Linked DNA regions of Pelodiscus sinensis. The protein of the gene in region 1 purifies or fractionates together with the protein of each later gene. This does not show direct contact. Links are inferred from orthologs where the notes say so. Each region holds a gene or a part of one and is shown in the gene's direction. Other genes may lie near its edges.

The links.
Region 2: the proteins of DHX8 (region 1) and NKAP purify together in Homo sapiens (co-immunoprecipitation; 3 studies listed by BioGRID and IntAct, with this or other methods). This does not show direct contact. The link is inferred for Pelodiscus sinensis from reciprocal best matches to the Homo sapiens genes DHX8 and NKAP.

Annotation. Positions count from the first base shown.
Region 1 is NC_134739.1:7,992,302-8,004,685, reverse strand, and holds the start of DHX8 (ATP-dependent RNA helicase DHX8), read left to right. Parts: upstream 1-6,407; 5' UTR 6,408-6,468; coding exon 6,469-6,580; intron 6,581-7,643; coding exon 7,644-7,729; intron 7,730-9,001; coding exon 9,002-9,074; intron 9,075-9,964; coding exon 9,965-10,053; intron 10,054-11,004; coding exon 11,005-11,114; intron 11,115-11,218; coding exon 11,219-11,536; intron 11,537-12,108; coding exon 12,109-12,253; intron 12,254-12,384.
Region 2 is NC_134723.1:33,981,826-33,994,325, forward strand, and holds the start of NKAP (NF-kappa-B-activating protein), read left to right. Parts: upstream 1-5,927; 5' UTR 5,928-6,055; coding exon 6,056-6,381; intron 6,382-8,198; coding exon 8,199-8,279; intron 8,280-8,958; coding exon 8,959-9,035; intron 9,036-9,251; coding exon 9,252-9,365; intron 9,366-11,123; coding exon 11,124-11,172; intron 11,173-11,637; coding exon 11,638-11,750; intron 11,751-11,899; coding exon 11,900-11,975; intron 11,976-12,500. Other genes in the region: ZBTB33 (transcriptional regulator Kaiso), read right to left, coding at 5,651-5,678. UniProt on the Homo sapiens protein: Acts as a transcriptional repressor. Plays a role as a transcriptional corepressor of the Notch-mediated signaling required for T-cell development. Also involved in the TNF and IL-1 induced NF-kappa-B activation.

The DNA of each region.
Region 1 (12,384 bases):
GCCGAGTTAGTCTGTAAGGGTATGTCTACACTACCCCGCTAGTTCGAACTAGGAGGGTAATGTAGGCATACCGCACTTGCAAATGAAGCCCGGGATTTGAATTTCCCGGGCTTCATTTGCATACACGAGGTGTACCGGTAGTTCGGAATAGGCACCCTAGTCCGAACTACCTAGTTCAAGCCCCGTGTAGCCGCGCTGCACGGGGTTCGAACCAGCGGGGTTTTAAAAATGGCGGCTCCCCGCTTATGCAAATGAAGCCCGGGAAATTCAAATCCCGGGCTTCATTTGCAAGTGCGGTATGCATACATTACCCCGCTAGTTCGAACTAGGAGGATAGTGTAGACATACCCTTACAGAAAAAACAACAAATGGTCTGGTAGCTTCAGACGCTGCATGAAGAATAAAATAGGGATGTAAATACCCCGTCAAAAAAATTAAGCAGTTAAACAATATAATTTTAATTGTTTAGCTGGTAACCATGGAGGGCTGCTGGGTTCTAGTAGCCCGCCATGGGTGGGACAGCGGCTGCTCCATGGCTGGGGTCCTGCCAATCAGCCTGCTGCAGGCCGAGATGGGGGTAGGGCTGCTTCTGCTGGCCTGGTCCTCCAGTTAACTGGTTAGCGGGTTAGCATGCCACTAAGGCTAATGTTTACCAGGTAACTGGGTAACCGTTTAACTTTTTACCTCCCTAGACTAAAATAATGCACGCTCCCTTTCTTGATTCAGTCTCAGCGTACGCCCGTGTGCAGCCTACAACCATTGCTCCTCGTCTTGGCTTTTACATCCTTCAGATCCGTGCAGAGAAGCTTAGGAACCCGCACTGTCATCTCTCGGCCGGGTTTTAATCCTGAGCTCTTTTAGCCTTACCTCAGACATCAGTCCCTTCAACCAAAGGTCATTTCTGTGGCTCTTCTTGACGCGCCCTCCAGCTTAGGAGGACGGAGCAGGGTTGGGGGGGTCCTAGATGTGGCAGAAATTGGATTTATTGCACCCCCAACCCTAGGGATGGTGGATTACTTCTGTCCAGTGAAGATTCTCTGAAAGTGGCTAATGGAAATGATGGAGAACTGGTGGCTTTGCATAGTTTTGTTAATGGGTGGCCTCCTCTTAGGGGAAAGCACAAAGCCAGAGACATTTCGTGAACATTAGCGAGAAGGGCGTGCCCACAGAAATGCCAGGCGCTGTCCGTAGATCACGGCGTGTACATCACAAGACTCCGGGGGAATTCACCATTCCAGCAAATCCTTGTTTGAAGTATTGCATTAGTGAAGGGTACTTGGCTGCTAGCCGAACAACGCTGGCTTCTCTCCGGGGCTCTGTTCATGATCATTGTGTCAGATGCTGGTTCATGTGCAGGTTGGTGGCTTCAGGGTTCACAGGCGTGACTTGGATAGCACAACCAGAGACACACAACACCGTCTCCAAGAATTTCTGCAAAGCTGGGGTGGCAGGTATCATAGGCGGGGGGAGGCATTGCCTTCCCAAACCGCCAGGCATGGCCCCGCCCACACTCTGCCCCCAGAATGCCTACTGTTGCCCCGGAGTGCTCCAGGGCTGGGGAACCTGGGGCTGTGTGCCACTCACCCTCCCCAGTGCTCAGGGGCCTGGAAGCCTGGGGCTGCATGCTACCTGCCCTCCCCATGGTGCAGGAGGCGAGGGCTGGGCAGAAGGGGTGGGGTTGGGGGAAGTGTTAGGGGTTTTGCCTCCCCCAGTCCAACCTTCACCCACCTCCCCTGTTTTTAAAGGAGAAACGATTGCTCTGTGGGGCTGAAAATGCAAGACTTTGGACTAGCATTATAACCCACTTTCATTTCTCTCCCAGCCTTTCCTTTGCTGTCACCTCCTCCCGGATGAGACAGTGCCCAGAAAGATGCTGCTTTGCTGCAATCAGCTCCTGGATTGGATATTAATCAGCTGGAGATTTGAATAGTCATGCCCATGTTTCTGCTTTGCTCTTCATCGTGTTGCCTCGCCCCTGGACAGCCTGCTTGGCTGTCTCGTCTCACACCTGGGCTGTACATTCTCTGGAGTAAGAGACGACTTCCTTTGTTATTTGTCTCGACAGCGCCTGGCACTAGTCTAGCAGAATAGCTCCTTGACAGGTCTTTTTACTGTGATACAAATAATAATCTGGATATTAGAGGGAAAAAATTCCTCTGTCCGCTACTTCTCAGATCCCCATGCTTCCCATCACATCAACATTCCTTAGACCCCCCATCTCCAGACTTGTGCTGCTTTTCTCTCTCCCTTTCCTACATCTGCAGCCCAACACAGTGACCATGGACAAGGCAGACTTTGAGGAAGTAGGAGGGAATGTATAGGAGTCCGTGGTGATACAGCAGGACTGACACACTAAGGCTACGTCTACACGGAGCTATTTTGGGTATCATTTTTTGAGGAGTAACGTTAGTTCGACTCAAGGGGTTTGATTCGAACTAACGCATCCCGGAACGCACTTCCTGGTTCGAATCAGCTGGCGAGCGGAATAACGCACGGGTGAGATTATGCTAATGAAGCACGGGATATTTAAATCCCCGCTTCATTAGCAATTTCGGTCGGCTACATTTGCATCCCTAGCTTGAACTAGAGAGCAAGTGTAGACGTACCCTAACTTACTTTGGGCTAAGTAACTCTGGTCATCTGAAGAAGTGGGCTGTGCCCACGAACGCTCATGATCCCATCTATATGTTTTGTTAGTCTATAAAGTGCTACCAGAGCATTTGTTGTTTTTTTCTGTAGCAGACTAACTCGGCTACCCCCTGCAGCTTTGGGCTAAGTGCGAGCCACAGAATTTTCACTTTTCTGTGAAACATAAGGCACTGCTAGGATGCGTCTACAGTTCACCCGTAGCTCAAAATAAGACATGCAATTTGAGCTATGCAAATTGCATAGCTTATTTCGATCTTATTTAAAAATAGTTTATTTTGTAATTTGGCACTGTCTACACAGCGCCAAATTTTGAAATCACCCGCTATTCTGAAACGTCCCTTACTCCTCATGGAATGTAGTTTACAAGGACATCAGAATAGCGAGCCCGTGATATTTCCAAATAACAGGCTTGCTGTGAAGACATGGAATAGCTATTTTGGGATACTCTGGTATCCCAAAATAGCGCTGCAGTGTAAACATAGCCCTATTGGGCAGGATACTGAATTACATAGAGCGATACTTTTATCTGGTGTGGCAAATCCTATGTTTACCTCTCAAAGGCTATGTCTGCACTGTGAAGCTATTTTGGGATCCCAGAAGATCCCAGAATAGCTATTCCACATCTTTTGAGCAAGCCCATTATTTCAAAATATAACGGGCTTGCTATTTCGACATCCCTATGAACCTCCTTCCACGAGGATTAAAGGACGTTTCAGAATAGCACTCTATTTAGAAATTTACTTGAAATAAGCTGTGCAATTTGTGTCACTCAAATTGCATAGCTTATTTTGAGATAAGAGTGCAGTGTAGACACACCCAAAATGTCTGGGCGCCTTCTGGAAATCCTAGCTTTTAAAACCATAGACAAGGTGCTTTACTGCCATCTCCTGGCCAAATCAAACATCTCTCTCTCTTGGCTTAAAAAATGTCACTCACAAATGACAGGACCCAGGGCATCCATACAGTGAACTTGAAATCCAAAAATTTTTCAGACATTTTGCCCATTGAGAATTATAAGAACTGAAGAAAACTGGCAAATTTGTTCTGAGTATGACATCTGATGTAAATCCCTGTCCTCTCAACACAGAAAGTGAATTGAAAAAGATGGGTGGTGCACACTAGAAACAGGAATTAGAACAGGGGCAAGGAACCTTTTTGGAGTCAAGGGCTGATGTGTAGTCCAGTCCCGCAGTAGGTGCAGGCTCCCCAATGCTGTGGGGGGAGCTGTAAGCCTTGGGGGCCAGATCCAGGCAAGTCAGGAGCTGCATCCGGCCCCCGTGTCTGAGGTTCCTCACCCCTTCAGTTTGCCTCCCCCAGCTGGGCCTTCATTCACCACCCATGCAGAATACTGAACCTGTGAAAAAGCCACTGAAGTGGTAATGAAGCCATTTAACAGGCATTTCCCAAACCCTGGTATAGACTGTCAGTTTCTGAATTTACTGTGTTAGTCAACAGGACCTTAGTTTAAAATTTGCTTTAAAAGATTTCAAGAGTGTGTTGCTGAAGATGATAAAATCACAGCTCTAAAAAACCATCATCCCCATCCCGGGCTGCCATTGGGCATAGGGGCACCCGTCAGGAACAGCCTGAGGTGGGCTGCAGCAGTTGGTGCCCCAGGCGGAACGCGTGATCGGTGCTCCCGCCTGCAGGGCCATCAATGGACTGACGTCATCATCGGGCGCTCTGGGTGCCCCGTTGAAGGTGGCACCCTAGGCGGTGGCCAAGTCTGCCTATAGTCACGGGCCACCCCTAGTACCAGTTTAATAGTCCTGTGTAGAGCCCCATGAATCCCCAGGACATCCCTGGAAAACATTGCTTGATCTAAATACCGTGTATTGTGATAAGAGTTAAGATTTAGCCTGCATGCTTATTTTTTTCTTTTGGTAGCCACTCTGAGTTTTTGCTTATTGCTTATAATCACTTCAAATCTATCTTTTGTTATCAATACACTTGTTTTACTATCCTTACCAGCGAGTTTGCCTAAAGTGTTTGGTAAGTCTGCTCAGGTTTACAAAAGCCGGTGCCACTGATGAAATGATGAACCAGTTAATAAACTTGCATTGCAGAAGAAAAAGTCTTCCTGAGGTACAAGGCTGGGAGCCAGGGGAATTTGGCTGTTGCCTTTCTCTGTCTGATTCACGTCTTCTAAGACTTCAAAAATCAATGTGTCTTTGCAGGTACAGATCGCAGGATGACCTGCCAAGCCTTTGATTTGCAGCAGGCAGGCAAAATGGATGGAGACCTCTTGTGGGCAATGATGTAACCAGGTGACCACCAGCCAGTAGTCATTTTAATCCTGATGGTTTAGCTCCTCTCTGGGGAACAGGCAGGTCACTGGTGCGTGTGGTGAGGAGAGCCTGGCTCCATGTTTGTTTTCACCCTACAATGCATGGTCTGTTACAGGGGTTTCATTGTGCTTGATGGTTTCCTGCAGACTCTACTTTGTGGCCATTCAGGCTCTGGTTATGGATCCAGCCTGGAAACGCTGCAAGGTCCCCGGAGCTGGTGATCCCCTTCCCTTGGCATGAATGTTCTTTGTCTGTGAACCCAGCCTCTGCCGGGGGGAGGCAGAGGGGGAGGCACATTGCCTGGGGAGAAGCCCCCGTGGAACATCGGCATGGAATGCTGTGACGCTGGGCGGGAGGGGGAGTTTCTTTATGGATGGGGTGGAATCTCCCCCCCTACAAACACAGCGAGGGGATTCCCCACCACGGCCACAGGTGGGAGGGATCCCCTCACTGACGCAGGGATCTCCTCATTGATACAGGAGGGATCCTCTCTCTGACATGGTCAGCATCCCCTCACTGACAGGGGGTATCTCCTCTCTGACAGGGGAGGGATCTTCTCTCTAACATGGGTATTCTACTCACTGACAGGGGAAGCCCCTCTTTGACATAGGGGGAGCCCCTCTCTGACACAGGGGTATCCCCTCACTGACGGGGGGGGGGAAGATCCCCTCTCTGACATGGGAGGTATCCCCTGACACAGGGGTATCCCCTCTCTGACATAGGGGGTATCCCCTCTCTGACACAGGGGGTATCCCCTCTCTGCCATGGAAGGTATCCCCTCTCTGACGGGGGTATTCCCTCTGACAGGGGTATCTCCTCTCTGACATAGGGGGAGCCCCTCTCTGACACAGGGGTATCCCCTCACTGACGGGGGGGGGAAGATCCCCTCTCTGACATGGGAGGTATCCCCTGACACAGGGGTATCCCCTCTCTGACACGGGGTATCCCCTCTCTGACATAGGGGGTATCCCCTGACACAGGGGGTATCCCCTCTCTGACATAGGGGGTATCCCCTGACACAGGGGTATCCCCTCTCTGACATAGGGGGTATCCCCTCACACAGGGGGTATCCCCTCTCTGACACAGGGGGTATCCCCTCTCTGACATGGGAGGTATCCCCTGACACAGGGGTATCCCCTCTCTGACATAGGGGGTATCCCCTGACACAGGGGTATCCCCTCTCTGACATAGGGGGTATCCCCTGACACAGGGGGTATCCCCTCTCTGACACAGGGGGTATCCCCTCTCTGACACAGGGGGGATCCCCTGACACGGGGGTATCCCCCCAGCGCTCAGGGCGACCCTGTGTTCGAGGCTTTCAGGCCCCGCCCCCCGCCGGCCGGCCGGGCTCAGGAAAGAGCCGCCCCTGCACCATAGAGTGGGAGGCGCCGCCTCCCTGCCCGGCTCCAGTCTGAGCCGCTCTAGCCGGCGCCGCCGTCTCTCTGGCCAGCGCCCTGTGCGTGCCTCCCCCGTCGCGCGGCGTGACCCGGAAGTGGATCCGCTCCGGGGGCGCGAGGCCGGGGGCGCGACGATGGGGGAGCCGGCGGTGGCCGAGGAGCTCGCGAAGCTCGAGTACCTGTCGCTGGTGTCCAAGGTCTGCACCGAGCTGGACAATCACCTGGGCATCAACGACAAGGACCTGGGTGAGGAGCCGCGGGGGGGGCTCGGTCCAGAGCGGGGGGCGGGTCGCGGGGGGGCCGCCGGGGCTCGTGTTGGGGGGGGGTCTGGACGGGGTCTACAGGCGCCCCCGGAAGGGGCTGAGCCCCCCCCCGAGAGCAGCTTGATGGGGGGGTGCAGGAGCCAGGGGACCCCCCCGGCGGGGTCTGGACGGGGTCTACAGGCGCCCCCGGAAGGGGCTGAGCCCCCCCCCCGAGAGCAGCTTGATGGGGGGTGCAGGAACCAGGGGACACCCCCCCCCATTCGGGGCTGTACCCAGCTGTGTCTCAGCGGCAGAGTTGCAGTTTGAGCCAGCGCCTCCTGGTGCCAAGGGTGTCTGCGGTAAGAAAGTAAATGTGTAAACATTAGGGATGTTAACAAACAATAAAACACGTTAACCATGTAACTCAGTTTCTCTCAAACGGTGGGTCCTGACCCCCCGCGGGGTCGCGAGCAACTTGAGAGGGTGGTTGCAGCAATGGAAAGAGGGGTCGTGAGCAACTGAGAGGGGGGTCGCGGTATCACAAGTTTGAGAACCCCTGGTGTAACTGATCAAAATTCTGTCCGTTATCTGGTTAAACTCTGCATGGGCTGCAGGCCCCACGGTTAACCGCTAACGGTAACCGAGAAGCATCAGCTTATCAGTTAACGAGTTAAACTCTTGCATCCCTAGTAAATATGTATTAATTAAACAAGGAATTGGCCTGGTGGTATTTTTGAGCTAGGGTGGTTGTGCTGAGTGTTGAACAAATGTAGTTAAAAAGACAGCTCTGGCCCCCAAAGAGTTGAGGGTCTGGAGTGAGCATATGAGCTCTCTTCTCAGCCAGAGCCATTTGCAATCCCTCCAACCCTGGTTTTGAGCAGGTGGACCTGAGACAGTGTAGAAAGAAAAACTGGCACTGCTGCAGCCCGTGCATTACTCCAGGTTCTGTGACTGGATGAGGGACTTCAGGTTCAAAGGTTGCCATGCCAGCCCCTTTCATTAGAGTGAAATGCATGTGGCCTGACTTCCAGTTTTTATTTATTTCACTCTCATCACTTTGTTTGCAGCTGAATTTGTGATAAATCTCGCCGAGAAGAACACCACATTTGACATATTCAAGGCTGCCCTTACAAAGAATGGCGCCGAGTTCACAGTAAGTGAGATGCAAACACAAAAATTGTTTATTTAAAAGAGAGTTGCAAGGATTAAGTGTGTGTGTGTTGTTGTGCAGTTATTTTCACTTAATTCATGTATGCTGGCTTCCAAACACTTTTGTATAATTAAGAATGATACAATTTTGAAGACTCATTTGGGCTATTTATGTCTTATTACTGCGCATGTGAAGTGCAAGAAAAATAGCTTGTCGTGAAAACAAACTTTTTATGGTGCTCATACACCAAGCTAATAAGTACCTTACAAACAGATCAGAGTGATTGTCATGGTTAGAAACAATGAGTAGTTCTATGGCACCTTAGAGCAGGGCTGCTCAATACGCGGCCCGTGGCCTGTTTGTTTGCGTACTGCAACGTGGTTTGGGTCTACATGGGACTCAACATGTGGCCTGTGAGTAGGATCCTTTGAATATGGGCTCCACTGGGAACACGCTCCACAACAGCGAGGTGTCTCCCAGGCGGGGTGAGCATTGAAAGACACAAGTGGACGGGGTGGCTTGAACAGACGGGTACAGGGTATTGGCATTTCTAGACCCCAGGGAGGAGGTGCTGGGAGTGCCAGGGCATTGTGGGAAGTGCTTTGTATTCATGCTCGACCGTGTGAAAGAAGCTATTTGCATATATATTTGCATGTTTATGCAAACACACTTATGTTGTGGCCCTTGGTATGTGTTGTCAGTATCATTGTGGCCCCTGGGGCTTCTAAAATTGAGTAGTCCTGCCTTAGAGACTTAACAAAATATATATATATACACACACACACACACACACGTGTATATATATGTATATATGTATAAAATATAGTATCATGACCTTTCGTGGGCAAAACATGTTTCTTCAGATGAGCTTGAATGGAGCTCAGCTCATCTGAAGAAGTGTGTTTTGCCCACAAAAGCTCATGATACTATATATATTTGTTAGTCTTTCAGGTGCCACAGGACTACTCATTGTTTTTAAAGTTACAGACTAACATGGCTACTCCTCAGACTTTTAAACATGTCATGGCTAGAATTAGTGACTAGTGTGGAGAGTCACTTACATGCAATTTTCATAACGCTGTAGAGTCTGCACCAAGCAGCTGAACTTTTATGGTATACATGTAAATTCTTGTGACTGCAGCTCTATGCTTCTAGATGCTTTTAGAAGTTGGAATTGAGCTTTTTGTTCCCTGCTAACAAACCCTACCTTGTACTAATGTGCAAAAGTATTGCAATCACTTAAAAATATCTTCTGTGCTTTATTGAATTTTTCAGGACTCCCTCATTAGTAATTTGTTACGTCTCATACAGACTATGCGGCCTCCAGGAAAGCCATCTACAGGCAAAGGTAAGTAAATACTCACTGCTCCAACAGCTCAACAGAAAGCCGTCCCAATCCTTTCAGCAACTGTTGAATATTATGTGTGACAGAGAAATAGCTATTCTTATATGCTGTTATTCCAGTGGAGTTCCCTGTATTGCAGGAATCACTGTGGCAAAGGTTTTGGGCTGCTCAAGGAAAGAGCTTTACTCGGTGCAGAATTTAGAGTATTTTATATTTCACTATCTTACTTAACCAGCATTTTTTTGGTGAAGGGAAATGTTATTCTTAAGAAGGTAAGAACTGTCATACTGGGTCAGACCAAAGGCCCATCTAGCCCAGTGTCCTGTCTCCCAACAGTGTTCAATCCCAGGTGGCCCAGAGGGAATGAACAGAACAGGTAATCATCAAGTGAGCAGAACCTAGGGATGTCATTCCTTCCCATCCTGCCTAATAGCCGTTGATGGACATACCTTATATGAACTTACCTAGTTCTTTTTTGAACCCTGTTATTATCTTGACCTTCACAACATCATCTGACGAGGAGTTCCACGGGTTGACTGTGCATTGTATGAAAAAAATACTTCCTTTGTTTGTTTAAACCGGCTGTATATTAATTTAATTTGGTGACCCCTGCTCTTGTGTTATGAAAAAGAGTAAGTAACACTTCCTTATTTACTTTCTCCACCCCAGTCATCATTTTATAGACCTGTATCATATCCCCCCTTAGTCAACTTTTACAAGCTGAAAAGTCCCAGCTTTTTAATTTTTAAAAGCTACCGTAAAATTTACATTCAGAGCTTAAATGACTACAGTATTCGGTTTAAGAAATGACAGTGACAAATTATTGTAGCCATGTGATAAAGGTGCATTTCTAATGTGGTTTTTTTTTTTTAAACGCTTTTTTGTTCTAAAAGCAGAGGCAGTTGTCAAACCCAAAACAGAAAAGGAAAAGCTGAAGGACCTGTTCCCAGCCCTTTGCAGACCAGACAATCCCACTATCAGGGTAAGGATGACGTTTCACACGTTAAAAATCAGTGCATGGAAGTATCATGCTTGCTCTCTATTTTTTCACTCTTGGTTTGCAGTTGCTACATTAACATGATCATCTGCAGGGCTCGCCAGGCGGCGGCGAGTCCCGCTTGCCAGCCGCGCAATTCGGCACGCTGAGCAGCTGTGCCGGCTGTAATCTACTCAGTAGATTACACTAATTGTTGAGCCCTGATCATCTGTATTGTGCTTCTAATGCACAAAATGTGATGGGGCCTGAGAAATGAAAATGCAGAATGTCATGGGAGGTCAGTAGTTAGCTGAAGATTGCTGGAGGTTAGTTGCAGGGGATTATTGTTAATATAGCTCTCTCAGAGCCAACACTGCTTTGTGGAACCTCCATCCTACCCTGACAAATTTACATTCTAACGCAGACAATATAATAAGTGGGATAATGGTTCAGGTGCAAAACTGCCTGGCATCACTGAGACCATGGAAGGTGACTTTGGTTAAGGAGTGGTTTTGAAGGAGCATGTTTGACACCTAGGCTTGAAAGGGATTGCATGGCGGAAGGTACAAAGAGCAAGAAAATGAGGATGATAGAAAGGAGGATTCAGAAAAGTGCAGAAAGTAAGAGGCATAGAAGAGGCAAAAGGAAAAGGTAGAATTGTGCAGAGGCTTGAAGGTGAGGTTGAAAAAATTATTAGCATACTAGGCTACCCAAGTTGCCTACGGGTCACATGCATATGAAGATTTTAGTAACAATTTAAAAAAGTCTCCAAAGTCTTACATAGAGGCAGAACTGTTAGAGCCATGTGCCTTTAAGTTTCATGGTGTAATCATCCCCATATTTTAGCTTCTTTACAGTATATTTCTCTGTGATCTTTTCTCCTCCTTTCCAGAAATAGATGTGAGGTTGGTAGGTTTTTAATCAGTTTGCTTACAGAGATATTCTCTGTGTCTACAGACTATGCTGGATGAAGATGATGTGAAAGTAGCTGCTGATGCTCTTAAAGAACTTGAAGCTTTAATGCCTACTGCCGGTGGGAAGGCAAAACAAAGGAATACTGATCACCGGTAAGTTTCCAGTGCATCTCTGGGCCATGACTAGCTAGGAAGTATAGTGTCTGTGTGACCTGCTCTTGCATGAAAATTTAATGCAGATTGTTGATGTTTGTCAGGACAAAAAAAAAGAGGAGGAGCCGCAGTCGCAGTAGAGACAGAGACAGGAAACGGAGGCACCGATCCCGTTCCAGGTCCCGTTCTAGGACTCGGGATAAGAACAAGGGGAAATCCAGATACCGCTCAAGGAGCAGGAGTCCGAGTCCCAGCAGGGACCGTAAGGATCGAGAGAAATACACAGAGAAGAGCAATGATAGATGGAGGGACAAGCATGTGGATCGGCCTCCACCTGAAGAGCCTTCAATTGGAGAAATTTACAATGGCAAAGTCACTAGTATAATGCAGTTTGGGTGCTTTGTGCAGCTGGAAGGACTAAGGTACTCATCTGACCGTCACAAGAAGTCATTACCACTTTTTGGTACCATCACCCTGCCTTTGAGTATTATAAATATTGTCATCAATTTCTGTCATTAGTGTGACTTAAGAAAAAAAGTATGATGCCTTATTAGGCTCAGCCACGTATGCCAGTGGTACACACTGAATTTCACAACCGTGGTGAATTTTCTGTTTCAAAAAAGTAAAGTGGTCAGTAAAGAACGTTTCTCTTTCCAGTAGGGATGTAAAGTACCATTTTAAAAAATTAACTGGTTGAACGTTCAGTTTAATAGGTTAACTGGGATCCTGCGGTGAGCCCGGCTGGGCTGGAGTGGCCCCACCTGCACCTGCATCGGTGGGGGAAGGGGAACTGCTCCAGCCTGTCTGGGCCACCGGTTAACCTCTTACATGCCGCATCTCAGTTTATAATTTCCAGGGACAGTTTATAATCATGCAAGAACCTCTCAGCGTTAAAACATTTTAAGACCTGTAAGTGTTGAAATGATATGTGACGAGCTGTCTCCCACCGTATTGTACAGCATCTCATGCCCTTCTGTCCATGTGTGACCCACAGGAAACGCTGGGAAGGCTTGGTTCATATTTCTGAACTTCGCAGAGAGGGACGTGTTGCTAATGTTGCTGATGTTGTGAGCAAAGGACAAAGAGTAAAGGTCAAAGTGCTGTCATTCACTGGGTCCAAAACCAGCCTGAGCATGAAGGTATGGAAGAATGTGATGGATGTTGAATACAGATCAAATGATGATGGGGGACAGAGTGTTTAAGCGTTAGTTTATAGCACCAACTTGAATCCCTTGAAAATACCGTATTATAATACTCAAAATTGGCAAGT
Region 2 (12,500 bases), on another chromosome or scaffold:
CATGACAAACAGTTTTCAAATACATGGAAGACTGTTCAAGGAGGAGGGTGAAAAACTTTTCTGCTGAACTGCTACATAACCAATTGGTCCCCAGCCTGTAAGAATGCTTGGGATTCTGCCGTCCCAAGTGCAGGACTCTGCACTTGTCCTTGTTGAACCTCAACAGCTTTCTTTTGGCCCAATCCTCTAATCTGTATAGGTTACTCTGGACCCTATCCCTGCCCTGCAACATATCTACCTCTCCCCCTAGCTTAGTGTCATCCACAAACTTGCTGAGGGTGCAATCCATCCCCTCATCCAGGTCAGTAATAAAGATGTCGAACAAAACTGGCCTTGGAACCGACCCTTGGGGCACTCCACTTGAAACCGACCGCCAACCAGCTATTGATCCATTGATCACTACCCGTTGGGCCCAACAATCTAGCCAGCTTACTATCCACCTTACAGTCCATTTATCCAATCCATACTTCCTTAACTTGCTGATAAGAATATTGTGGGAGATCATATCCAAAGCTTTTCTAAAGTCAAATATGTCACATCCATTGACTTTCCCTTGTCCACAGAGCCCGTTACCTTATCATAGCATCTAATCAGATTGGTCAGGCATAAAGTGCATGAGTCCCCCACTAACCCCATGCTCCTGTGGCACTTCTGCCTTTGAAATATAGGAAGAGCCAGCAGGGCTCTTGCTACATTTCAAAGGTGGAGGTGCCCTTATCAACTAATCAAATAGTTGATGCAAATTGCATTGACTATTTGATTAGTTGATTAATCTAAATTTAACATCCTTACCCCAGTGCTATCCCTGCCTCTATAGCCTGCCCCCACCACTAGCTCAGCCTCCAGAGCTCCCCAGCATTAGCCCCACCCCCTCACCCAGGCCTGCACTGCTGACTGCATCACGGCCAGGTCTGGGTACACCACCCATCACCTTCCCTCCCACTGCAGCTGTTGGGAAAGGCATGTCCTGCCCCGCCTCTCAGCCAACCAGCACCGGGCAGGGGCAGGGTCTCCTCCAGCCATGGACAAGCTCTTCTCTGTGCAGTGGGAGGGTCATATGGAGCGGCTCCAGGCAGCCTTCCCACAGAGCAGGAAAGCATTCTTCTGTGGCCGGGAGGAGACTCTGCCCCTGCCCCTCACTAGTTGGCTGAGAGGTGAGGCAGGACACGACTCTCCCAACAACTACGGCAAGAGCAGTGTATCCCAGCCTTGGGCCCCAGAGCCACCGCAGCCCAGCAGCCAAAGGTCTGTGGCCTGACAGTGAGCTGCAGCCTGGTGGTTGGGCACTGCTTGATTATAGCATTTTGTGTGGAGGGCGTTCAATTCAGAAATTTGCTTTCTCAGTTTGGTGTGACAAATGGATGTTGGAATTAAAAAGTGACTAAATGGATGCTGCAGGATGCAGTGGGACCAGGCTCTGAGTTAAACCACTCTGAGTTAAACCACTTAACCATTTTAACATCCCTAAGAGCAATAGATGTGAAGTTTTGACTTAAACCATCTTAAGAGTAGTTTTCTTTTTTGAAAAAGGAAATGTTCATGGTAGAAATACTTAGGGACAGAGAGCATTTTTAAAGACTTACTTCTGTGAGACAGGGAAAAGTCTTCAGTCATGACAGAGTTATACTTAATTTATTTTAAAAGAATAAATAAAATTTGCTAGAGACTAAATAACAGAACCAAGCTTTCATGAACATGTCATGAGACAGAAATATCTTCACTGAATACCTAGGTTCAATTTTCAGTACCAATGAAAATTTGACAGTCATTTTAACTGGATTATCTCTAGGGACAGAAATAATCTATACAAAGAGCAATATTGTGATGCTGGGAACACTACTAATGCCAGAAGGACAGTAGAACACTAATTCCCATCTGATTTCTATTTTTTGCTTTGTTTTGTATTTTATGCATTGGTTGGCTTTTAATATTGTAATAAAACCTAGTTCAACTCCCACTAAAGTCTGTGGAAGACTTTCTTTTAACATTACTTGGAGTTGGATCATATGCCACATGTAGCAGCATGCTGTTATATGTAGAATGCAATAATTATATAAACACTATCAATGGGCCACTTATTCCGGAAAAGCAACTGCTTTTCCGGAATAACTTGCCAGCTGTCTACACTGGCCGCTTGCTTTTCCGGAAAAGCAATGACAATCTACTGTAAAATTGTCAGTGTTTTTCCGGAAAAACTATGCTGCTCCCATTTGGGCAAAAGTCCTTTTCTGGAAAAATTGTTCCGGAAAAGGGCCAGTGTAAACAGCACAGTAATCTTTTCCGCAAAAAAGCCCCTATCGCGAAAATGACGATCGGGGCTTTTTTCCGGAAAAGCGCGTCTGCATTGGCCACGGACGCTTTTCCGGAAAAAGTGCTTTTCCGGAAAAGCATCCTGCCAATGTAGATGCGGTTTTTCCAGAAATACTTATAACGGAAAACTGTTCCGTTTTAAGCATTTCCGGAAAAGGGTGCCAGTGTAGACGTAACCTATGTATAAAATACTTCAAAGAGCTTTACAATTACTAATTAACCCACAGAAGACTACTGAGGGATAGTTGAATATGTTAATCACCATTTTACCAACAGAAAAACTAAAGGAGAGATTCATGGTCTTAGTTTTCAAGGTAATGAGTAGCTGTCTTCAGTGCAACTAAAAGCTAAGGCTACGTCTACATTGGCAAGATTTTGTGCAAATACTTTTAACACAAGAGTTTTTGTGTTAAAGTATTTGCGCAAGAGAGCATCTACACTAGCATGTGCTGTTGCGCAAGAGATGTGCTTTTGCGCAAAAGCATCCATGCCAGTGTAGATGCTCTCTTGCGCAAGAAAGCTCCGATGGCCATTTTAGTCATCGGGCTTTCTTGCACAAGAAATTAATGTTGCCTGTCTACACTGGCCTCTTGCGCAAGAACAGTTGCGCAAGAGGGCTTATTCCTGAGTGGGAGCATCATAGTTCTTGCGCAAGAAGCACTGATTTCACACATTAGAATGTCGGTGTTCTTGCGCAAGAACTCCCCGCCAGTGTAGACAGGCAGCATGTTTGTGTGCAAAAGCGGCCGCTCTGGCGCAAGATCATGCCAATGTAGACACAGCCTGAGTGTCTGACTTCACTGGAGGCTGAAGGTGCTCAGCTCAGTTAAAATTCTGGCCACAATTTAGTCTAGTTCCACAGATTGTGTCAGAGCTGGGATTAGAACTCAGGCTCACTGACTTGTACTCAATTCACTACTCTCCTCCTACTCTATTAGAACATAGGCTTCAGAGGGGTAGCCATGTTAGTCTGTAACATGAAAAACTTAAAAAACAACCAATAGTCTACTAGCACTTTAAAGAGATCACTCAGAAGCATTAAACAAGGGAAGTCTCCTGATATTCATTGTCATTATCCCCACAGCACTTCTGGCAATGGAAGAGATATCCCAACCTAAGGGTACGTCTAAACTACATGGCTCCATCGACAGAGCCATGTAGATTTGTTGTTTTGGCAAAGGCAAATGAAGCCGCGATTTAAATGATCGCAGCTTCATTTACATTTACATGGCTGCCGCGCTGAGCCGACAAACAGCTGATCAGCTGTTTGTCCGCTCAGCGCGCTAGTCTGGACGCTCCCCTGCCGACATCAAAGCCCTTTGTCGGCAGCCCCGGTAAACCTCATCCCACGAGGAATAATGGGGCTGCCGACAAAGGGCTTTGATGTCGGCAGGGGAGCGTCCAGACTAGCGCGCTGAGTGGACAAACAGCTGATCAGCTGTTTGTCGGCTCAGCGCGGCAGCCATGTAAATGTAAATGAAGCCGCGATCATTTAAATCACGGCTTCATTTGCCTTTGCCTATGTGTCTAATCTACATGCCTCTGACGACAGAGGCATGTAGTCTAGACACAGCCTCACTGCATAGATAGAAACATAATGTAAGAATACCATGCATAGTGCAGTTCTTTGGTGCTATACATTTACCAATTTACCAAATGCATAGTGCTATACATTTACTAATTTCCATATATAATTTGAACAGGTTTTTTGCTGCTTATGCCACACCTTATAGATCTGGTAACTGAAACAGCTGTCCAACTATAAACAACGTTGAGACATATCCTTCTATTCGATTTGATTTTGGCTTACATAAGATGACATGACAGTATGAGATAATATTATAAAATAATTCTTTGGATATTTATGGCAGGCTTACTTGATGTCAGGACAATATTATACATTACTTCCCCAAGCAAAAGAAAGACTGTTACCTACAAGAGGGCTTTTAAAAAAACAAACAACATCCTTGATAAAGATTTCCTCCATTGACACCCATTTAAAAAAAAAAAAGGCTGTTTGCTTTTATTATGTAACTTTTATAACTCTCTGGATTATTGCTGTGTTGTTTATTTTGATTCTAAGGTGACCTTTTAAAATAAAAAAATCTAAGGACTAATGAAAACGTAGTGGCTTTTTGTATGTTTTGCATGTTTGTTTATTCCTTCATTGCTGATGGTTGTTTGGTGGGGGCAAAGGGTCAACTGCTGTGGAAAAACTAAGGGCAAAAGGTTGGATTTTGCATTGAAATACGAAAGCAGGAAGATTCAGTCATTCTAATTTTGGGGGGAAGGAAGTTCCATAACCATGAGCTGTCCACTGGAAAAGTGCTGTTTCCACTTATTTTAAACATTGTTCCTGTTGTGGACAGCTCCATCATTCCAGAAAAAAGTCATAGATGTTAATTCAGGCAGCTGGGACACATCCCATTTGAAGAGAAACTTTGGAGAATAGCACTGTGACTTTGAACTGTCTATCGGACATTCAAAGCTTAGTCTGTGTAGTTCCTGAAGGCACTAGATTAAAATGCACTCTTGCCTTTTGATGCTGGTCAGTAAGATGGGCTGCTGCATCATGAGGCTTTTCCAGAACTTGCATATTCATCCCCATGTACAGGTCACCGTAGTTATCAAGTGTAATATGGAGTCAGTGAGGGAAAGTCTTTTCTACTGACTTTTACTTTGACTGAAGCATTGTATGCAGCTTGCCCTGTTAGCACAGTGACCAACTAGGTTGCATCTCACAGATTGCACAGAACAGGATGCTGATGACAATGCCAAAACAGTAGGAGGACAGAAATTTTGACTGTCGTTTACTCCTGTTCTCCTTGGGCACTTCCATCTCCCACAGGATTCTGAGTCCTTCTTGTTTAATGGCACCTTTGTAGAGCCACGGATTAAATTATTCAGTGATACCTCACTACAGCAATGGAAGGGGCTGGGGATGGGATGGGATATCCAGCGCCTCTCGCTGCTGCTGTTGCTTGACTGCCTTAAGTATTGACTAAACGCTGCTTCCATCTGATGGCTGGTCTGGGACCTATGTCGGGGAGATGCTGGTCTCAGGCCGCTCCCGGGGGCCGAGTTTCACCCTCCCCACTGCGCCGGGTGGGGCCACCTGTTCTCTCTTCTCAGCCTGGCGACTCCAGGAGGCTGAGGCCTGCCCCGCGGGACCTTTGGGGGGAGCCCATCTCCAGCAGAGCCATGGGCGCTGGGCTCCCCCGGCCACAGGGCAGGCTGCGTCCCCTGCACCCACATGGGGGGCAGCACCATGCGTGAGGGTCAGGCCGCCCCGCTGTCAGATGGGGGCGGGGTGCCCGCCCGCCTCTTGGTCCCTCCTTACCTGGCGCTTCGACCCCGTTCTCCTGCATCCCGCCGGACTCCGACAACCCGAAGCCGTCTGGCCGCTCGCACGGGGTCGCCCGCAACGAACCCTGCCGTAGGAACCAAGCGACACCGCCTCGTTTCCGGGCGGCGACTCAGCCTGTTGCACTCGGTTGTTCAATTGCTCTGTGCACGAGTACCGGAAGGGGTTGGTAGCAACACTCGGAAATTGTTTCCCGGGGGACGGATGTGGGTGGTTGTACCCGGAAGCACTTTCTTAATATGGGGGGAAAGGGCGCAGAAACCGGAAGTGGTGTTGCACGGGATAGTTCAGAAGTGCGCCACCCGGAAGTCCCCGCGGTCGCTGCTGGCGCTACGGTAGCAACCCGGGAGACCTCTCCTGCCCCCGGCCCGGGAGGCCGAGATGGCGCCTGTGTCCCGGTCTCGAAGCCCTCCAGGATCTCCAGGCCCCCGGCGGAAGGGCGGCAGCAGCTCCTCGGCGAGTCCCTCGCCCCCGAGAACACTCCGGCCCCACCGGCCTGCGTCCCCCGAGAAGCGGGGCAGGAGGTCGCGGTCCCGGGAGCGCAACGGCTCGAAGCATCGGCGGAGCCGCAGCTGGTCCCGCTCCCGGGAGCGCACGCCGGGCGGGCCGCGCTCCTCCTCCGCTCACCACGGGCACCATCACCACGGCGGCGGCAAGCAGTGGCCGGACTACTATGAGAAGGAGAAGGAAGAGATCCTGCGGCAGAGGCGAGTCTCCCCCCCCCCCAACCGAGCTGCCTTCGCCCGCCCCGGCTACCCGAGCTGCAGCGTGTGCCCCGCCCCTTTTCCCAGTGCAGGCGTGTTCCCTGTTACGTACCTTTCCGTGCCTTGTCCAATCTTCTTTTAAATGCCCCTTACCACTTAGCTACCAGATTCTCCTTCTCATAGTAGTCCTTGCTCTACCTTATTTTTTTTGGAAAATTAGGTCCGTTTTCCCTAACTTTGTCTATTAAAGAAATTATGCAGGGATGTAAATTAGAGCCTCAAAGGGACATGAAATGAAATAGTGTGGAGACATCTGTGTTAATGCAATGATGCAGCCCCACAGGTATGATAGGGCCCAACTTGTTAAGTTATCATGGGTAGCTTGCAAAAGTGACAATCTTCCAGATAGTTAGGGCCCAACCAAATTCATAGTCCATTTGGGTCAATGTCATGATTATAGGATTTTTTAAATGGTAAATATAATGATTTTGGATATTAAAAGCTGGAGCTTCATGCTGTTGCAATTGCAGGGGTCCTGATCTACAAAGGAGTTGTATGGGGTTTGCAAGGTTTGAGTGGCGGGGGGTGGCACTACTGCACTTTTGTGCTGCAGATGGTGGTGGTGCTGCCTTCAGAACTGGGGATCTGGAAAGTGGTGGCTGGGAGTCCAGCGTGGAAGACATTGCTACTGCCAGCAGCAGCACAGAAATAAGGATGGTATGTTATGGTACTGCTATCCTTCTTTCTGCACTTCTGCCTGCAGAGCTGGGACCTTAGTTAGCAGCTGCCGTTCTCCAGGTGCCCATCGCTGAAAGCAGCAGTACTGTATTGCCACTGAACTGCTGCTGGCAAGATGCTGCCTTTCAAATTACAATTACTGCTGTATAGTTGCCCAGTGCTGAAGGCAGCACAGAACTAAGGATGGCAGTACCGTGGCCCTCCTAAAATAACCTTGTGATCCCCCTGCAACTCCCTTTTGGGTCAGGACACCCAATGTGAGAAACACTGGTTTCCCCATGTATAGTATAGGCTAAAATCACACACAAGTCCACATTTCATTGGGAGGACTCCAGATTTCACAGTCGACGATGCATTTTGCATGTCTATGAATTTGATAGGGCCCTACATATAGTACAGCTTTAGGTGCTGAAATTAGGGGTGCAGAGGGTGCTATTGCTCCTTCTGGCTTGAAGTGGTTTCAGTTATAACAGGATTTACAGTTTGGTTTGATGATTTTCAGCACCCCCAATATAAAAACTGCCAGTATCCCTGATTACAGTCAACAGTGATGACAAGTCTGATTGTTCCGATCAGAAGCAAAGCATCACATATTAGAATGTGTTGTCTCTACAAATTAGGTCTTCCATTTTTTTAGACGAGGGCACATGGAGAGATGTTTTGTGCAGTTATCTGCCACAGACTAGGTACCTTTGCCTGTTTGTTTTAGGAAGTGGATGTAATCATCATGGTAAATATTTAGATACATAATTTGTAATGGAAAAAACTATCAGGAACATTACATATGTGGCCAAAAATCCTGTTTTACCAGACTACAAAGTCTGAGGGTTAACTGAAGCATGCAGAGGTGTTTCTTAAAAATGTCTCAAACATACTGGCCCCCCAGTAACTGAAAAATTAGTGTTGAAGTGTCTTGTTTTTGGAGAGAATAAGCAAATTTTAGATACTAACATGAAGAAAATATCCTTTCAGCAAATTTAATTATGGAGACGAGAAATGCTGATAAAAACAAACTATTCAGGTTTTGAATACCTGTTTGATGGTAGCACATTCGGTTTTAATGCAGGTATGTATCTTTATAGGAGACTGAATGAAAGAGAGAGGATTGGAGAACTGGGAGCACCTGAAGTCTGGGGACTGTCACCAAAGGTTCCTGACCCAGAGTAAGCAATTTTTCATGGGATTTTTTTGCCTTCTGGCACTCTAATTTGGAGGCTTATATAAGATAACATTTAATTAATATCAACACTAATATTTACAGAAATGTCTTGTTGTTATTCTTTGTAATTCATATTACATGTCTCCAAAGTTAAATCACTAAACAGCCATATCTGGATACCATATTTTGTATAATGCCAACAAATCAATTACATAAGGTTTCAGCATGTTGTAGATCAAATGATGTTGTCTTAGTATTGTGGTTTGAAGAGTGATTCAGATATTAGCTATTTAATCGTTTCCTTGATTACTAACACAGGCTCTGAATTTGCAAAAATTGTACATGTGTAGATCCCTGTGTGGATACAAAATTTGTATCCACCTTTGTATCTGCAAAAATGAGCTGAGAATATCTGCATTGACATCCATGGATGTGGATACCCCTGGATATAAAGTAGATATCTGCAAATATTCAGGGTTCTATATACAAAAATTATATCCTCACCTGCATCCATATCTTAAAAAATGAGCTGTGGATATCAACATCCACAGATGCGCATACCCACAGATATAAAGTGGATATCTGCATTTGCAGAGCTCTATACATGTATTTGATTTTTGGACAAACAATCCCCACTTCAAATGATGTTTCATAATTTTAAATATCTTTTTGTGTCTGTTCAGTTCTGATGAGCATACCCCAGCAGAAGATGAGGAAGCAAAATCTAAGAGGAGCAGCTCTTCAGATTCCAGTTCAGAAGGTATTTTGTTTTGACCTCAGAAGTTGTTTACACATTAATAGAAGATTCAGGGTTAGAATCTGTTCACCTTACTTACAAAGAACTTCAGTGACTTAGTTAAACTAGCATAATAAAATTCCATGTAAAGGGGTTCTAGTATACTAAAGCCAAAATATTAATGGCATGCCAGGCTACACTTATCTTGAAAGTTAATGTTCCCTTTTCAAATCTTTTCAGAAGAGAAAAAAAAGAAGAAAAAAAAGGAAAAGAAAAGAAAGAGGTCTAAAAGAAAACACAGGAAGCATTCTGGGGACAGTGACAGCGAATCTGAGTCTGAACTAAACTCCAGTGGTAAGAAAGCAAGGCTTCTATTAAGCTATATATGATTTGAAACTTTCTATTGTATGCATTCTTTATAATCATGTGGAATATTGTATCTGTTGTGTTTGCATCCTTGCGGCATTCTGGGATTTTGTATATTAGTTGCTCATTAAGGGGAAAAAATGAATCTCTTAACTATAGCTTATATACTAAGATACATTTTTCTCTTCTCCCCATAGCTGTATAAATTGTAATGAAGCTTTTTGTAATTCCACTTGTACCTGTGCTTGGCCCTCATTTTCTGCTCTATCCCAAGTCTAACGTTGACCAGTTTCTCTTTGTGCCATTTTCCTATTTTCATCTCCAGGCTACCTCTTACCTTTAGAATGGCCTGTATTCTTGTGCACTAAATCACCGCTCTCTCCACTCAAATGTCTCCTTAAAACATATCTTCTATGAAGTCTCTCAGCCCTAATCCACTTTGTTCAAGATGTGAAAGCACATCATTATAGTCCAGAGGCAACAAACTGCATCTGCTGCTGCACTTCTGTAACCATTCTCATATAAGTGAATAATCCTGTATTTTAAATTCTTTCACTGTTCAGTTTTTCTGTGTGCCTTGCTTCTGTGCGTGGGATCTGGCCATCAGGGAAAGGTATCCTGAATTTAATCCATCAGGCATTTCAGGTCAGGTGGTGATAGTATATCAGTACATTCAATAATATTATTTTTGCCATTGTTTTGAAACCATAAATAGCCTGGAATTGAGACCGTCCCCTCTAATACATATAACTTATTCCTGGGGGATTTCTGTGCTCAGTATTTTAAAATTGTGCATATTTTATTTGTCAAAACATAATATAATCACTCAATTTTCAAGTATTTTGGTAATTGTATTTCAAATTACTTGTCAGCAAGTATGTCTGTAACAGTAGAGACAAATAGATTTCTTACTAGACATATTTATACAGAACATTGAATAATCCCTTTAAACTACACTACAAAAATGTATTTCTCCTACCCTTCAGAACAGTGCAAAGGCTTGGTGTCATTGGGATAACAGAGAGCTGAGAGACAAGGAAGGAGCCTGAGAGTAAATCTGGAGGGTTGTTGAATGTGGGTGGGAAAAGCAAGAAACAATTTTGTTGGGGGGGATTTTTGGCTGGGTGGGAGAGGTTGTTAAAAAGCTGGGGAACCTTCCCCAGGCAGACCCTAGCCGACCCAAAACCTCTCCCATTCATTCAGGCACATTTGCTCCCATCAGCCCTGGCTTTGTGCTGTCACTCCTCTAGCTCCTGAACTTGTGCCCCTTTCAGTATCTCTCCTCCACGAGCCCTTCTGAACCTCAGTCTGTAACCCCTCCAGAGGCCCCCCCCCCCCCCTTTATCCGTCCAAACCTGACTCTGAGTAGGATGCTATGATGAACCCAGCAGGCTGCTGGCTGTTCTGGTGCCACAGTGGCCTCTTGTGGGTGAAAGGCAGAACTGCAACAATTAGTAAGCAGAATATATTTTCTAGGGGGAAGGGGGGATGAATTTTGCACATGCACAGTGGTGCAGAATTCCCCCAGGAGTAGTAGCTAACCATTAAGCCATTCTGGTGTATGGTGAGTCAAGGAATTCAATAGCATGCCTACTCTTATCTCAGATGAGTTGCTAAGTGTACATGGCTTTAGTTCTCTCCTTCTTACTGTAGCTGCTGTTGTAGAGAGGATTGTATTTCCAATAAAGCTTGGTACTTCATTTTATTATTGTGGGATTTTGGTTATTTTACGTTCATTTTTTTTAGATGAGGAAGAGAAAAAGAAAACCAAGAAGAAGAAAAAGAAACATAGAAAGTAAGAGCAATTCTCCAAAATATTGCATTCAAAACACTGCTGTCTTAAAATCTGTATCTTCCATTAGGGGGCAGCATGGTTGTGATATTATTTGCCTATCTAATGAGTAAGGAAAAGCCAACCCTTCTGTTTCTCATGTAGTTAAAAGGATATCCTGTAATAGGCTATCTTCAGAATCAACATGATTCTACCTCAGACAAACTGAATTCTGGCTAATAAAAAACCCAGTCCAAACTTGAAAGAATAATCAAGACCTATAAAGATAATTGTATGATCTGTGGAAAGAAGCATTTTTGGTGAATTATTGAACAAATAGATACTGAAAAAGGGAAAATCATTCAATTGAACCCTCCAGCTGGACACTGCTTGAATAATTGATCAGTTAAGCCTGGCCTCTAGCACTGTTTCCTTTTCTCTGCTAGTGTATAAATGTCTGACTATTCCATCTTTAACTTTGTAAAACAGAAAGAAGTCTAAAAAAAAGAAGAGTAAGAGGAGTAGGAAGAAATCCAGTGATTCAAGTAGTGAAGATTCTGATGAAGCGCTTCAAGGGGATGATCTCTGGATTGAGAGATCAAGTAGGTTGTTTCTGTTTAACACTTCTGTTAAAACTCCTCAATATTCTGTTCAGTAGCATCAGCTGCTGCTATGTTGATATCTTATGTGACAGATTTATGCAAAGCAAGAAGGTACAGCAGTAATATTCTTGTTTATTTGTGTATTGCAGAAAGTACAGACGCTGATAATTTAATTGGACCAGAAGCTCCAAAAATGCATGCATCTCAAGATGATAGGCCTTTGAAGTAAGTAGCTATATGTGATTTACACAAACAGATCAAATCAAGGAAAGTAAACATGAAGGCTGCTATGTCACCTTTTTACCTGGCCTCTGTGTACTAGAAAGTTGCTGCATATGTACAGTAGACTTCCGATAATCCGGCACCTTTTGGATCTAGGTGGTGCTGGATTATCAGATTTGCCAGAGAATCAGGAGGTCCGGTACAGCTGCACGGCTTAACAGCTGGCCAGGACACAATCTCCCTCCCTCTCCGCTCCCCTTTCCTCTTCCCATCTCCTCTGTGCTGTAACCTGATCCTCCTCCCTCTCCTCTCCCCTTTCCCCTTTGTTGAAGTAAAATGCTCTTCTCCATACTGTAACACGATCCCACTCCCTCTCCCCATCCTTATGCTCCGTCTGGTTACAGCCAGCACATGTGCTGAGCGGCAGGCTTTTTAATCAGCTGGTCAGGAGCGCTTGGCATTTTGATGCCGGAGTATTGGAAGTGCCGAACAGTTGGATGCCGGACTATCGGAGTTTTACTGTACATG